Linked DNA regions of Kluyveromyces lactis. Each later gene encodes a partner of the first gene's protein in a complex. Links are inferred from orthologs where the notes say so. Each region holds a gene or a part of one and is shown on either strand. Other genes may lie near its edges.

What was found. Proteins that work in one complex are often made in the same cells at the same time.
Region 2: the proteins of SUP35 (region 1) and SUP45 are in contact, whole or in part, in a crystal structure (PDB 3E20), measured with the Schizosaccharomyces pombe proteins. The link is inferred for Kluyveromyces lactis from reciprocal best matches to the Schizosaccharomyces pombe genes sup35 and erf1. Residues at the interface, in NP_588225.1 of Schizosaccharomyces pombe: Ser571, Ile572, Leu573, Thr574, Thr575, Gly576, Tyr577, Ser578, Met611, Phe612, Asp647; in NP_594680.1 of Schizosaccharomyces pombe: Gln285, Phe288, Ile291, Ser292, Tyr298, Phe300, Gln396, Met399, Gln400, Lys403, Gly404, Phe405.

The regions. Positions count from the first base shown.
Region 1 is NC_006040.1:1,481,804-1,491,246, reverse strand, and holds SUP35 (translation termination factor GTPase eRF3), read left to right. Parts: upstream 1-2,189; coding exon 2,190-4,292; downstream 4,293-9,443. Other genes in the region: heat shock protein HSP42, read left to right, coding at 580-1,767; ARG82 (inositol polyphosphate multikinase), read right to left, coding at 4,344-5,372; KLLA0_D17380g (uncharacterized protein), read right to left, coding at 5,757-7,055; Arf family guanine nucleotide exchange factor SEC7, read left to right, coding at 8,178-9,443. UniProt on the Schizosaccharomyces pombe protein: GTPase component of the eRF1-eRF3-GTP ternary complex, a ternary complex that mediates translation termination in response to the termination codons.
Region 2 is NC_006039.1:961,365-967,433, reverse strand, and holds SUP45 (translation termination factor eRF1), read right to left. Parts: upstream 1,911-6,069; coding exon 594-1,910; downstream 1-593. Other genes in the region: MAK5 (ATP-dependent RNA helicase), read left to right, coding at 1-367; ATG19 (Atg19p), read right to left, coding at 2,563-4,446; PHM7 (Phm7p), read right to left, coding at 5,074-6,069. UniProt on the Schizosaccharomyces pombe protein: Component of the eRF1-eRF3-GTP ternary complex, a ternary complex that mediates translation termination in response to the termination codons. The eRF1-eRF3-GTP complex binds to a stop codon in the ribosomal A-site.

The sequences.
Region 1 (9,443 bases):
TCTCATTTCCTACATAAATTTATGCTCAATGAAATTTGTATGTGCTGATGGACGAAAAGATAGGTTGGAAATTGACGTTACAAACTCCGAGAAAAAACATGAACCTATACATAAATAAGAAGCATCCTTTTGACAATAGTACTGAGACCAAAAGATGCGCTATATTGGTTATCGTAGGAATCCTTCAAGCCTCAAAGCCATTCGTTGCTGGTCGCCACTCTTACGGCTATATGTCAGCCTTGTTTTTTGTCTCCTCCAACTTTATTTCTATGAACTTCCCTAACGTTCCACATATTACTAGACTTTTCGATCTTCTACTGGTACTGAAGGAAAAAAAAGGCTAAATTCACGCATTATTAAGGGAGAAAAAAGGTATAAAAGGTTTAATTCTTCGGTGGCAATCCCTAGATTTGCCATTGCCAATTTGATGTAATTTGTGATTGTCTGGTATATTGCTACCTATAGGTTCAAATTGATCCTAGTAACAGCAAAAACAGCTTTCTAGCGGTTTATTCAAAGGAAGGACGGATATAGCCTTTGAGTGCAATTATACATATTACCATATCAACCCTTTCCATTATGAGTTTTTATCAACCATCTTTGTCCCTTTACGACGTTCTAGATGCATTAACTAACAAGGCTGGCGCCAGAGGTGATTATGAAGATAATATCTACGGTGGAAGACAACCTCAAAGAAGAGCTGCTAATCAAGGGTATGACAGATACGACCCTTTTGCCGCTAGAAGACAGGGCTACGTTCCTGGCAGCTATTACTATTCAGTTCCAAACGCATCCTACTACCAGCCAGTTTATTACACAAATGAAGATGCTCAACCTCAGAGAAGACCCACGCATTACCATCCACACCGTACTGTTCGCAGGACCGGTGCTCCAACAACAGCTTCTAGAAGGGCTGTTGGACCAACATCTGGTGATGATGTAGTTGGGGCTCTTTTGAGTGCTTTGGCCGGTGGTAATTCCGACATTTTCAGAGGGGATGCTGATGAAGAAAGTCAGAGACAAGCAACTGATGATGAACAAGAAAACGATGAACAGGAGCAAGCCGCTGCTCTTGCGGCAGCCGAAGAAGCTCTTGCAAATCAATATTCCGAGGAAGAAAAAGAACGTAATGATCAGCAAATAGACGAGGAAACAGCAGAGCAAGGAGAAGACGCTTCTGACGAGTACAACGAAGATTATAACATGCACAATAATGAGGAACAACAAAAGTTGAATAAGACTACTTCCTCCGTTGACAGCGAAAAGGACGTAAACCAAAAGGATAAACTAGCTTACGAGCCCAGCGGTTTCAGATCTCCGGTTCCTGCACCTTTGCAAGTTTCAAACCCAGAATTGAGACTTGATCTACCATTTTCTCCAGAAGTTAACGTTTATGATACTCCCGAACAGTACGTTGTTGTATTGGCATTACCTGGTGCGAACTCGAAGGAGTTTAAAATTGATTTCCATCCTTCATCGCACGAGTTACTGATCAAAGGTGCTGTCGACAACAAGATCGGGATTGATAAAAAGTACGTGAAGATCTCAGAATTGAAATACGGTGATTTTGAAAGATCTGTCAAGTTCCCCGTTTTACCGAGAATTAAAGATGAAGAGATTAAAGCATCGTACTTTAACGGATTGCTTCAAATCAAAGTCCCAAAAATTCCACAAGATGCTAATAAACCACAACCAAAGAAAAGAATTATAATAGAAGATGTACCAGATGAAGAACTTGTGTTTGAGACTGCTCCTCGCAATTTATGAAATCATCCCTGGCTTCACATTGGAAAACTGGTTCAGCCAAACATTTATATGAACAATTGTTATGAATTAAAATAAGATCTCATGTTTAGTAATCGCTTATGTATAATATTAATATTACACGAATACCAGCACCCTCATTTTATACAGTTACATAGAGGAAGAACGGAACGGTTGCACCAGGTTATTGATGCCATATTACGTATTGGGCGCTACAATGGTGTTAGTCTATTTAGGAATATATGCAGTCGTATAAAATTACATCATCGCTAATTGCAAAAAATTTTAAACAGCTTGATAGAGAAGATCGAAAAGTGTAAGAAAGCGTTACTGATGATCATCATGATCCTCCCATCAGCGAATTGCCCTCTATTTGCAAGCTTAAATTGGAACAAGGTACCGGTCTATAGCATCTACTAGTAGACATGTCAGACCAACAAAATCAAGACCAAGGGCAAGGCCAAGGTTACAATCAGTATAACCAATATGGCCAGTACAACCAGTACTACAACCAACAGGGCTATCAAGGCTACAACGGCCAACAAGGTGCTCCTCAAGGCTACCAAGCATATCAAGCTTATGGACAGCAGCCTCAAGGAGCCTACCAGGGCTACAACCCTCAACAAGCTCAAGGCTACCAACCTTACCAGGGCTACAATGCTCAGCAACAAGGTTACAACGCTCAGCAAGGCGGTCACAACAATAACTACAATAAAAATTATAATAATAAAAACAGTTACAATAACTATAATAAGCAGGGTTATCAAGGTGCTCAAGGATATAATGCACAACAGCCAACCGGTTACGCTGCTCCAGCACAGTCTTCATCCCAGGGTATGACTTTGAAAGATTTCCAAAACCAACAAGGCAGTACTAATGCAGCCAAGCCAAAGCCTAAGTTAAAGTTGGCCTCTAGCTCTGGTATTAAGTTAGTAGGTGCCAAGAAACCTGTAGCACCCAAAACTGAGAAAACTGATGAATCCAAGGAAGCAACTAAAACTACCGACGACAACGAAGAAGCACAATCTGAATTGCCCAAAATTGATGATTTGAAAATCTCAGAGGCTGAAAAACCAAAAACTAAGGAGAATACCCCATCTGCTGATGATACTTCCTCAGAGAAGACTACCAGCGCTAAGGCAGACACATCTACAGGAGGAGCGAACTCCGTGGATGCTCTAATCAAGGAACAAGAAGATGAGGTTGACGAAGAAGTCGTTAAAGATATGTTTGGTGGTAAGGATCATGTTTCCATCATTTTCATGGGTCACGTCGATGCTGGTAAGTCAACAATGGGTGGTAACTTGTTATATCTGACTGGTTCTGTGGATAAAAGAACCGTTGAGAAATATGAGAGAGAGGCTAAAGAGGCTGGTAGACAAGGTTGGTATTTATCATGGGTGATGGATACCAACAAAGAAGAAAGAAACGACGGTAAAACCATTGAAGTGGGTAGAGCGTACTTTGAAACTGAAAAGAGACGTTACACTATTTTGGATGCTCCCGGTCACAAAATGTATGTTTCTGAAATGATTGGTGGTGCATCTCAAGCCGATATTGGTATTTTGGTTATTTCTGCTAGAAAGGGTGAATATGAAACTGGTTTCGAAAAGGGTGGTCAAACTCGTGAGCACGCTTTATTAGCCAAGACACAAGGTGTCAACAAAATGATTGTAGTTATCAACAAGATGGATGATCCAACTGTGGGATGGGATAAGGAAAGATATGATCACTGTGTTGGTAACTTGACAAACTTTTTGAAGGCTGTGGGTTACAATGTTAAGGAGGACGTCATTTTCATGCCAGTGTCTGGTTACACAGGTGCAGGTTTGAAGGAACGTGTCGATCCTAAGGACTGTCCATGGTATACTGGTCCATCTTTATTAGAATATCTTGACAATATGAAGACTACTGATCGTCATATCAATGCTCCATTCATGCTTCCAATTGCTTCTAAGATGAAGGACATGGGTACTGTTGTGGAAGGTAAAATCGAATCTGGACACATTAGAAAGGGTAACCAAACTTTACTAATGCCTAACAGGACCTCTGTTGAAATTCTGACCATTTATAACGAAACTGAAAGCGAAGTTGACATGGCTGTTTGTGGTGAGCAGGTTAGATTAAGAATTAAAGGTGTCGAAGAAGAAGAAATTTCTGCTGGTTTCGTTCTAACCTCTCCAAAAAACCCAGTTAAGAATGTAACGAGATTTGTGGCTCAAATTGCTATTGTCGAATTGAAATCGATCATGTCTGCTGGTTTCTCGTGCGTTATGCATATTCATACAGCTATCGAAGAAGTCACCGTCACAAGATTGCTTCACAAGCTTGAGAAGGGGTCAAACAGAAAATCAAAGAAGCCTCCAGCATTTGCTAAAAAGGGTATGAAGATCATTGCCGTTATCGAGACTAATGAACCGGTATGTGTTGAAACATACGATGATTACCCACAATTGGGTAGATTCACTTTAAGAGATCAAGGTACCACCATTGCTATCGGTAAGATTGTGAAAATCCTTGAAAATTGATCTCGGTTTTTATGAATCCATATCACAATGCATATTTACTAGGTGTCTAGTCTAGATTGTATATTTAGTTTTTAATCTTTCAAAAATGTCTATAAGACTTTCAACCCCGTCAAGTACATTGTCATCTATTCCTAATCCTGGGGTAAATTTGGTATGTGCAAAATCTATTATCGACATGCGACTCAATTCTGTCTTTCCTGATATGCTCTCCTTTGACTGTCCATCTTTAATGGACCCTTCCTCATCCGAATCATATGATACATGGGACGGTATTAATTCTTGTTCCTGAGAGAAGTTGATCCACCGAGTAGTATCGCATTCATATATGAATAGAAGGCTACTTGATATCATGCGAACCTCTTCATTCAATAGCGTATTATAGAAAAGCTGAAGCCTTTTTGAAAACATGTGAATCAAATCATTACGATTTTGGAGTGAAAGATTATTATCGCCAAAGTACAAATCAAATGCGTCCGTTACATTCGAAGCTGTCAACTCACGACCGTAATATTTATTGACAAAAATATACCCATCATCTTCCGGTTCATAATACTTCGAGTGTAGTTCTTGGACATTTGTGTTTTTTAAGATATTCATACCACATATTCTAAACCCTAAAGTCCCAGAAGTTGATGTCTTACTTACTTCATCTAATCTTATTCTTTTCTCTTCACTTGCTGCATCATCCCACAGAACATGTCCTAACTTGATATCCAATACGTTTGGTCGTACATATCCGTGCAATAGATTTTCCATAACTAAGTAAACATTTCCATCGGTTTGTGACTTACTAGTTAGACTTGTGGGGGAACACGCGTTCAGTCTCTCTATTACTCTTTCTTGGTCAAAGTCTTTGTTCTGTTCTTTATTCTCTTGCAATATACCTAAGAATGTAGGTGTCCAGTCCTGTAATGGAATGTCATCCGTGTTGTCTATTGCATGTCTGGTGGCCAAGTGTTCATAAAACTTTATTTCTTGTTTCGTGGAAGGTTTGAACAGAAGCATCTCATTGGGATCCGTTAATGGTCCTTCATGGCCAGCAGCTTGACGTTTTAGTTTCTTAAAGTCTTTGATGTTCATGCTGTATATTCAAAACGCCATCTATAGGTGATTCCTCGTCCTCATGAGCTCAATTCTTTCTTTACGCAGTTGATGTAGCATCATCTGGCTTGCTCGAACGGTGCTCAGTTGTCTTTTTTATTTTTATAAATACATTCTTCTGTCAGTAGATGTTATCAAAAAAGGTATTCATAGAATTGCGGCATTCATATCATTCCAGAATGATATGCTTGCCAATAGAAAACATACAAAATCTATACATATATTAACTGGCTTCAAAATAGTAACAAAATATTGCATGTGGTATTCATCCACTTATTTATCATTGGGAGGTCAAAGTCTAGTTCCGTTTCGGTATTTTTTTTAAGTTAAGTAACATCCGGAGAACATGAGCTAACGAAAATTTCACACATCGTTCCATAATCTCCCATGGACTGATTGTAATTCCTCTTTAGTTGGTGCTTTTTCTGATGAGAAATAACCTGAGTTGATTTTAGCATCGATTTCAACTCTGGAATCTGGAGGAATCATTTCATCTGGAATCGGAATTCTTTCGACGATTTCAATTCCCTGATCAACGATTGCATCATATTTCATGTTTGACATGGACAACATCTTATCGATCTTGGAAATACCTAACCATTTAAGGACGTCTGGCATTAATTGTTGAAATCTCATATCCCTCACACCAGCGATACATTCTGTTCTGTGGAAATACTCGTCAGCGGTATCACCGCCTCTCTTACGAGCATTGTATACTAAATATTTGGTAACTTCACCAAGTGCACGCCCTTCTTTACGGAAGTAAATAACAAGACCAGTTCCTCCATTCTGGGCCTCCTTTACTGCTTCAATAATACCAAACATCAAGTATGGACGGCAAGTACAAATATCAGAACCGAAGACGTCGGAACCGTTACATTCATCGTGAACTCTCAAAGCGATTTTCTTTTCTGGATTGGAAATGTTTTGCGGATTACCGAAAATATACACTGTCAATCCACCAATTGGAGGCATGTAAGTTTTGATATCGGGTCTAGTGATCAATTCTGGGTACATACCATTTGTATCCTCAAATAAACATTTTCTTAACTCTTCTTCAGTGATTCCAAATCTTTCAGCGACCCCTGGTAAATACCAAACAGGTTCAACGGCAATCTTCGAAACACTTAGGTCACCGTTAGAGTTGACAATGATATTACCGTCGATTTTCAATTCGCCTTTATCAACGGCCTCTTTCAACTCAAGCAATTGCATGGTTGCCTTGGTGATGGCAATAGTTGGTCTGATATCCACGTTTGCAGACTTAGCAACATCATCAAACAAATAAGGTGTTAAGTGACCAAAAGGATCCATCGATACAATATCACGGTTGTTAAACCATGATGGCTGTTCTGGGATTGTAAACACAGGTTGCGCGTTGGTATAGTCTGGAATATGGTCGCGTTTTAACTGGTTTGAACCAATGGCCAAAGCATTATAGATGCAGTATGGACCAGCATGAGCACCGATGCAATTGTGTTTAGAGATACCACTTTTATTTCTTGATGGAACCACAGGACCCCTTTCTTGACAATCAGCAGCACCCCAGTTCAATGGGATAGGAGAGGAATCTTCTGGGTAGGTGGTTAAAAGGACATCATTAACTGGTGTCGCTTTGATGTGTTGTTCTACTTCCTTACGGGTAACGGCGATTGGACTCATCTTTAGTTGATAATTTCACAATATCCTTAATGATTGATACTTTTTGATTTAATCTTGATACTTATAGATGTGTTTACTATATGCATTACTTAATTGAACCTTATCCAAACTAAGTTCTTCTTCTTCGACAAACGCTCTTCTTTTATAGATTTTGAAGGATAATATATCCTGTAATAATTTACACAAAGATAACTAGGCTCCCATGCACTCGAAACTATACAAATCGCTCGAGCTTTCCGTTTTCTATCTCCCGTACCTCTTTTTGTTATCCTAATCACACGCTATCTACGTTTTTGTTTCACTAACTGACGCATGTCAATTTTCCTCCGACGGATTTCCTTCGGAGGAAAATGGTACAGCATATTATGTCAGCACCGCCAGTATTAAACAGGGAAAACAACGACTAAATATCTCCTATGGAGATATGTATACATACATATGGGTAGATAGATGCTTTACACATGAAGGTGTTAGTTAACCGCACTAATTGACATACATGCAATCTGTTTACTTGTTTTTAGGTTGTTATTCTCAATCACTAAGGTCGCCAACGGAGATTTGAGGTCCCAAACTCAAAGTAGAGATATGAAAAGTAAATTCAGATTGTAAGTTTGGAAATTATTACAAATGCTCCAGAATATACCAAATTTGGCGTCCCTTTGTGGGCTATGAAGTGCTATAAAAGAGGTTACTCCAATAGATAATTCTCATCATAGATGATTCTAATCACGTGATCAACAAATCACGTGCTCGACACAGCAGAAGAGGCTTATAAAATTATACAATGTAGAACTAAACTTAAGTTTCCAGATCCATTTCCTGTAGCAAGTATCTACGGTTTATATCACTGCCTCTTGGCTGAACATTCTGGTAACATCATTCAGCTGCTTTACTTAATCACTTATACTTCAGAAAGACTTCAGAGAGCAGATCTTCAAGCCAATTCTCCTATTATAGGGGAAAAACGGAGCCAGCCATCCACCTTAAAAGGAAAGAAAAAAAATATCTGAAATTAAATGAGATTCAGAAAGAAGTATACATAATATCGTATTTGGTGGAACGATTACGGAGGTGATTATATACACACTAAGGTGCAGTGCTGTCGAAGAAATATTGCCAAACATGTCAGAAGAACCTGTGGACCGCACGAACCCAGCAATTGCTGAGGAACGTGATATACAAGCCCTAGATTCGACCACGACTGTTGATATCAATGTGAATTCGGTAACCGACGCTGATGCGAACGTGGAGAACAACACCCCTGATGTGCCTGATGTTGATGTGACGCCATCTCCATCAGCAAATAAAACTGTAAATAGTAACACCGAGGGAGCGGCCCATGCTAGAAATGCGTCAATTGTATCTATGAATAACGCGAACATTAAATCGGTTGTTTTGTTTGTAAAATCAACGTTGGAATCCATAATGAAATCCAAAGAACTTAAGAAACTTACGAGTTGTCAGAAAGATATAGAAAGGACTTTGAAGTCCCTAGAACAAACCTCAGCAGCGCCAACCGGAACTTCGGTAGAAATTGACTCGTTGCTCGTTTTTGAAGCGTTAAGATCATGTTGCAGATCTAAGATCATTGATATTCAAATAAAGGCTTTAGATTGTTTCGCTAAACTGTTCTCCTTTCAAGCCTTGGACGAATCGCTGCTAGTGAATCCTCCAGACTCAATGGCTTCAAACGATCAGAACCCTGAAAATATTGGAATTACTCCACCTCCAAAACAAAAGCTTATTGATGCGGTAATTGACACAATTTGTGATTGTTTTGAAGGGGAAAATACAGACTCAAGAGTGGAACTGCAAGTTGTACGTGGTTTAGCCAGTTGTATCTTAATCGATGAAGCTACTTCTTGTGTCCATGGCGCTTCCTTATTGAAGGCCATCAGACAAATTTACAACATTTTCATCTTTTCGCTACATTCATCCAATCAAGGCATAGCGCAAGCCACTTTGACCCAAATTGTCACGACCGTTTTCGATAGGATCGATGTGAAAAGTTTGAATCAACAGAGATCACTTTCAACAATTAGCTTAAAGAATGCTGCTTCCACCAATGGAGGAACATCCACTCCATCATCTGAACATCCGTTAACTTTGCAAAATTTGGATACACTAAATGACGAGACTGAAAGACTGGTAGACGAAGAAGAAAATTTCCAGAAACCCGATGACTCCATCACTGATGAACAAGCTCTTACCATCAAAGACGCTTTCCTTTTGTTTAGAGCCATGGCAAAAATATCTGCAAAACCTTTGGAAGACTCACTAGATATGAGATCTCATGTAGTAAGATCGAAACTTTTATCTCTTCATACTCTACATTCAATATTAAAAGACCATATCGACGTTTTCTTGTCTCAAAACGTTAGGGTTCCA
Region 2 (6,069 bases), on another chromosome or scaffold:
GAGCGAACTTGCTGATGATGAGATAGCAACGAAATCACTACATAAGGATGATAATTGGTTAAAAAAGGCTGCTGAAGAATTGGATATTGAATTAGATTCAGAAGAAGAGGAAAAGGACCAATTTTTAGCTAGAAACAAAACCAAAAAGTTGAATAAACAGTTGGAAAAGAATGAAAATAAGGCTCTAAAATACCAGCTCAACGAGTTATTAAAAATGCCACTAAGAAAAGATTTAAGAAAAAGCTATCTAACAGGAGGTCTGACCAATCTCGCTGACACTTTAGTCAAACATAAAGGTCACAATTCCATTATTGGACATGATAAAGTGGATGCATTGCAAACACTCAAGGGCAAGAAGCATAAATGAAGCCCTTTATCTGCTATAGAGAAATAAAAATAGGAAAACATATATATTCCCAATACAACAGTCGTTGTCGGAGTGTGAAGAATGTTTGAATTGCATGAAAAATATGTAATGTCTTGCAAATACAACTTAATCAAATATATCTTGGTGATACTTATGATAAAGAAAAGAATGAAAAGAAAGATATATATTTATAAACACTATTTATACATCGCTTGACTGAAGAGGTTTAAATGAAATCGTAGTCATCATCATCTTCATTTTCATCATAATATTCATCATCTGAATCTTCCATCAATTGTTCGAAGTTGACTTTATAACGAAGTAGCGCACCAATACCACCGAAACCAGTAACGAATTGAGCACCTTCAGAGGATTTATCGGTAATGAATTCTAGATTGGCACCGTAGTTTTTGTAATTTTCCGCAAGCCATTCAATTAATGGTTGTTCAGAGACCAAGTCCATTTCTGCTCCGGTAGTTTTATCAAGAGAGTATGATTTGTCTTGTTCCTCTGGTTCGACGAATTTTAGTACTTCTTTATCTTCAGAGTCCCTGTATACATATCTGATGGTTTCTAGATTTTCAAAAACAATCAAAATTTCAACAGCACCCAAATCCAAAGCCTTTAGAGTATCTTCGATACCGTAGCAGTATTTACCAGTATCTTGAGAGATTTGATCGAAATATTCGGTAATCAATTTCTTTTCTTGAATGAATTTAACATTGGCTAAGGCTTCTGCAGATAGTTCGATAGCTTGGTTGAAACCGTTTTCACCACCGTATGAGATATCAACGATCTTGACGATCTTAGCTTGCAATCTTTGATCGAACAATTCAGATTTGGCCAAATCTGTTTTGAAATCTGCAGAACCAGCCAAGATTAAACCTTTAACGTTCACCTTATCGTTCGTAATAAAATTTTGCACAGCAACTTCTGCCACTTTTCTGACATAGTTATGTCTCTTTTCTTCTCTTAAACGAGCAAAACGAACAGCGGATTGACCACCTCTACCATGCTTCTTTGGTAAATCAACAGTGAATTTATGCAAAACTGTTCTTGTGTTACCAGTCAAAAGACCGAACAATGCACCTTGACCATCCATCACGATGAAACCGAATTTATCATCTGCTTCTAGCAATTCAGAAAGAACCTCTGTGTGGAACTTATTGTCACATAAGTACAAAGAGGTGTTGATTGGTTTATAAGGTTCAATGTCAAATGTAACCTTCTTTTCTTTACCTTCTTCAGTTATCATATCACCACAATATAGCACCAAACCATTAGGTGGGATCTTAGTGTATAATTTTAGCTTTTGTTGTGTGGATGTGATAGCAGAGAGCACTGACAAACGGTTGACTCTCGATTTAATATTGGAAGCAGTACCATATTCATCAGTCAACATCTTTTGAATCATAGAAATTTGACCCTTTGGTGGAATGACAAGCGAAATCATAGAGGTACCATTACCCCTAGCCTTCTCTAGAGACTTGATCAATTTCTTGACCTTCCAGATCTCAATATTCTTCTCAGCATCAGTCTCCATTGTTTCAATTGCTGTACTATAGGATTAAGCTATTAGTTATATCTTCTTACCGGATTCTAAATCAAATAAAGATCGAAATACTAAACCTAATGAATATCGTTGATGGAACTAATGTACAAATGAAGCAAAAGCAAACTTGTACATATAAATTAGAATCCCATCTCTCTTTCTCTTAGACCATATTTACTAGTAATTTGTAACGTATAAGTTCTACATATTTTTCTCTTTCAAAAGTAACTGCACTCTCGTCGATGCAATACCAAATTTCAAAAATTTTCAGAATTCTTGAAAAGAAAGAGGATGCCGTTACCCTGCATCGCCGCATACGGTCTTGACTTTAAAGAGATAACCATTAAGAGTTTGTATGTAGAAGGAAATACTTAATCGTAAATAGTAGTAGAAAAACCATCTTATCTCGTAAAACAGTAAGTTGAATAAACTGCACGAACGTCGTCGCTAGAATATGATGTGATCTGGTCCAGTGCAGTTGTCAAACACAACAGGTGAAAACACCTTAACAAAGAAAAGATAAAACAAAGTAAAATATAATAAAAAAGAGGATGGAGTAGGGGGGGTCAACCAGGATGACATGACATGCTACTAGCAGCATTGGGCCAGAGAATATTTGTCTTTCATGTGATCATGCAATTGATCAGTTATGATCAAAGTCCGAATCACTTAGTAAATCGTACTCTTCAGAGAGCGACTCAACGTAGACGAGATCATTGTTTTCATTGTCTGCCTGCGCTGTATTTTCTTCTTCTTCCTCTTCTTCTTCCTCTTCTTCTTCTTCCTCCTCCTCTTCTTCTTGATCCGTGACTGAAGAAGATATAACATCAGTATCAGATTGTGAAGGGCTAGTTAATGTGTATTGAACATCAGGGTCTTCATCTTCGTTGCATGGTATATTTCTGCGATCACCCATTGGGAGCATCTTACAGACTGGAGGTTTTAAATGGAATACCGATGATCCTGGTACCGTGCTTTGTTCTGTGGTATATACCACTTGTTCTCTGACATCAATGAGATCAATCTTGCATGGTTGCTCAAAGCTAAATTCTTCCAATGTGCCACGGTAGTTAAAGTTCAAAATTTTGTAGTTACCTGGCTGTAATTCGTCTGGACCAACTTGTAAATTGCATTTAATCGGGGTTGCCACTCTGCCTTTCTGTTCGCACTGGAACACTAATTTTAATCCATTTGGAATTGTTTCGTCACCATCATTAAAAAGTTTAAATGTTAACAAATGACCTTTTTGGAACATCTCTACCCTTAATGAAGGATTTGATGACCCTTGAGTATTCATAGTTGCCTCATCGGAAGACTCATTCTCTCGCTCCTTCTGAGCGTTTTCTTGCATCATATTCTGATACCTCTCTAATTTCTCATAGATGTCTTCTCCGTACCACTGCTTTGCAATTCTCCAGCTGATGGCATCTTGCATTAATTTCTCCAATTCACTCTCTGTTTTGATTTCAGCAAAGAAATCAAACATTGCCTTGTTCTGTTGTCCAACTTCAATGATAACATCGTTAAAATCATGCTGCACATTAGCAGCTGGTACGCGAGGAGAAGAGTTTCTAGGTGATGCTTTGTCTTTTCCGTAAAAGCCTTCAACCTTAATTTCAGATGGCAATGGTTCTGGATTATATCTAGGTGGAGCAGGAAACTGACTGTACCTGGATGTTGCAGGGACTTGGTAATACCTTGATGGAGCAGGAGCCTGATTATACCTAGATGGAGCAGGAACTTGGTTGTACCTAGATGGAGCAGGCACTTGATTGTACCTGGATGGTCTCGTAACTTGCTGATGTGTGCTCTTCAAGTAGTCCGAAGTAAACGATTTCAATTTAGCATCGGGTGTGACAACCTTAACGAAGTTATGGTAGGATTTGTGAGTACCCGAAGTGAATCCCTTCTTTTCGCATTCGCTGCATAAATCATAATCGTGACAGTATAAGCAACAAAATCTGGGCCCCTTGATGAACCCATTTTGATCTGCGGTTTTTGTATTGACAACACGGATTCCATCAGCCGGACCTTGGCACCCATCGCAGACTATTCCCTCATGAACAGTATCCTCAGAAGTTGAACTGTTAACATTATTGCCTCTAATAGATAATTCGAGTTTTTCTAACGATCTGATTAGTTTATCCCATTGAGATGATGGGATGGACATTTTAGTATCATTTCCATCTGTGATCGCATCTGTGATGCTTCCAGCGTCATGAGGTTCATAGTGATTTTTTTCAGCCACATCGATGTACAAAGTTCCCACTGTTAGAACATCATCCCAAATGCTTTCAAGGTCTTTGTAATTACGTATCGGAGTTCTTTCAGAAGCCGTTTCATTTACTTTGGCTGTTACCGCATATGAATCAAAAATATTCGTTGATTGAAACAAGCTAAGGCCTATTTTTCTCAAAGCCACCATATCAGGGCTTGATCTGGCTTGAATTACTTGACGAGAGGATATTCCCTTTGGACCTGTGAAATGGATATCCACCTGATGACCATAGTAACTATCATAGGACATTATTGTTGAGTAAAAAAGGTGTTGTTCGGATCTTTGAAAAGTCAGTGATTAAGTGTATTGTAAAACTAACTCTACAGTGGCAAATATAACTTGAATAATCTGTTACCGACCGTTATATAGTCTTCTTTAAATGTGATACTGAGTAGAAGTAGTCAAAAACCCCCTTTGCCTCCCCTTTTATTTCTTTATATATATTTCTAGATCAGGGGAAATACATAATTTATCTTTTTTATCTCCTTGAGATTAGGAAAATTCCAGGAATTCCTCGGTTTGAAGACAAAAAAATAAACTGTTCTTAATTGCTATGGTAAAGCAGAACTATAAACTGACACTGGCAGCAGTGCCTCGTCAAGAGGGGTTTCCAGTCAAAGTATTAATGCTTTTCGAACCTCTGAAACTTGAAACGGTAACTGCCAACTTAATGCATTACTTTGGATCTTGTTAAGAGTGTGTAGAGATTATTAAAGTATTAAATTGAACTATAAAAAACTATTATATTAAAGATGGAAAAGGAGAAGAAAGTAGAGAGTAGAAGTAAAGAAATACAAGTAGACATTCAATACCGTATTATTTCGTGATGCGGAATAATCCAGCTTTTTTTACCCATTATTTTAACTTATGGCAATTTCACTTTTTGGCAATCATTTCGTAGTCTGGAGGACTATTAGAGTATGTTGTCTTACCCGTCTCGTCATAACCAGCGAAATCATCTCTAACATCCACACCACTGGCAGATGCAATGGATATTTGCTGATGGGACAATCCCATAGGATCTCTTGCACACCATATAATTGGTTCCTTCTCTCTAACACAAGGCTCGGTGAAGGCGGTTTCCAAGTACTCCAAATCGTATCTAATGACGTCATTGAAGACATAAGGTAGAGTTTGCCTTACAATAGCGAAATCGTAGTACTTCTGAGGTTGGAAGAATAGCTTGCAACGGGCCACGATACTCTTTGGTCTGATCAGATCGGATGGTAAACCGAGTTGCTCTTCTGGTGCATTTATTGGGTAACCCTTAACATCGGAGATAACTTGCCCAGCATCCGCGCGGTTGACAATGATGTTGGGGTCTCTTTCTTCCTGGTGAACTTCTGGTGGTGGAATTTGTGGAGGTACTTTTGTCTTATGGAATTGTTCTGAATCGTTGACAAAGGTGCTTGGATTCTGTTTCGAGCTGCCCGAAATAGTTCCGTTACCATTATTGCTCTTTGAATCATTTTCAAGAGAATCTTCATACTCATCAGGCAGCATGTTAACTCTCTGCAAATCTTGTTTTGTAGTTTCTTGGAAGACCCCATTTCTATCTTCAGATAGAATGTTTTCTGCAAGTTTCTTACCTTCGACTTGAATTTCGTTCAAACCTTGATCCTTGGCTGGGTAATAAGAACCTTCTTCACCTCTAGCGTATCTGATTGCGCTCAATGGAACTGCATCAAACAATGGAATAAATCTTCTCTTGAAGTAAATATGGGCAAGAGCAGTAGCAGCCAAGAAGACTGCTTCCAAAACCAAAGGACCCCATGTCTTGGCCATGATGAAAAGACCAATTAGACATATTTCAGCTAAGTACAATCCAACAAATACTTGGAATAATGCTCTTGGATAGTTCCTACCACGTAA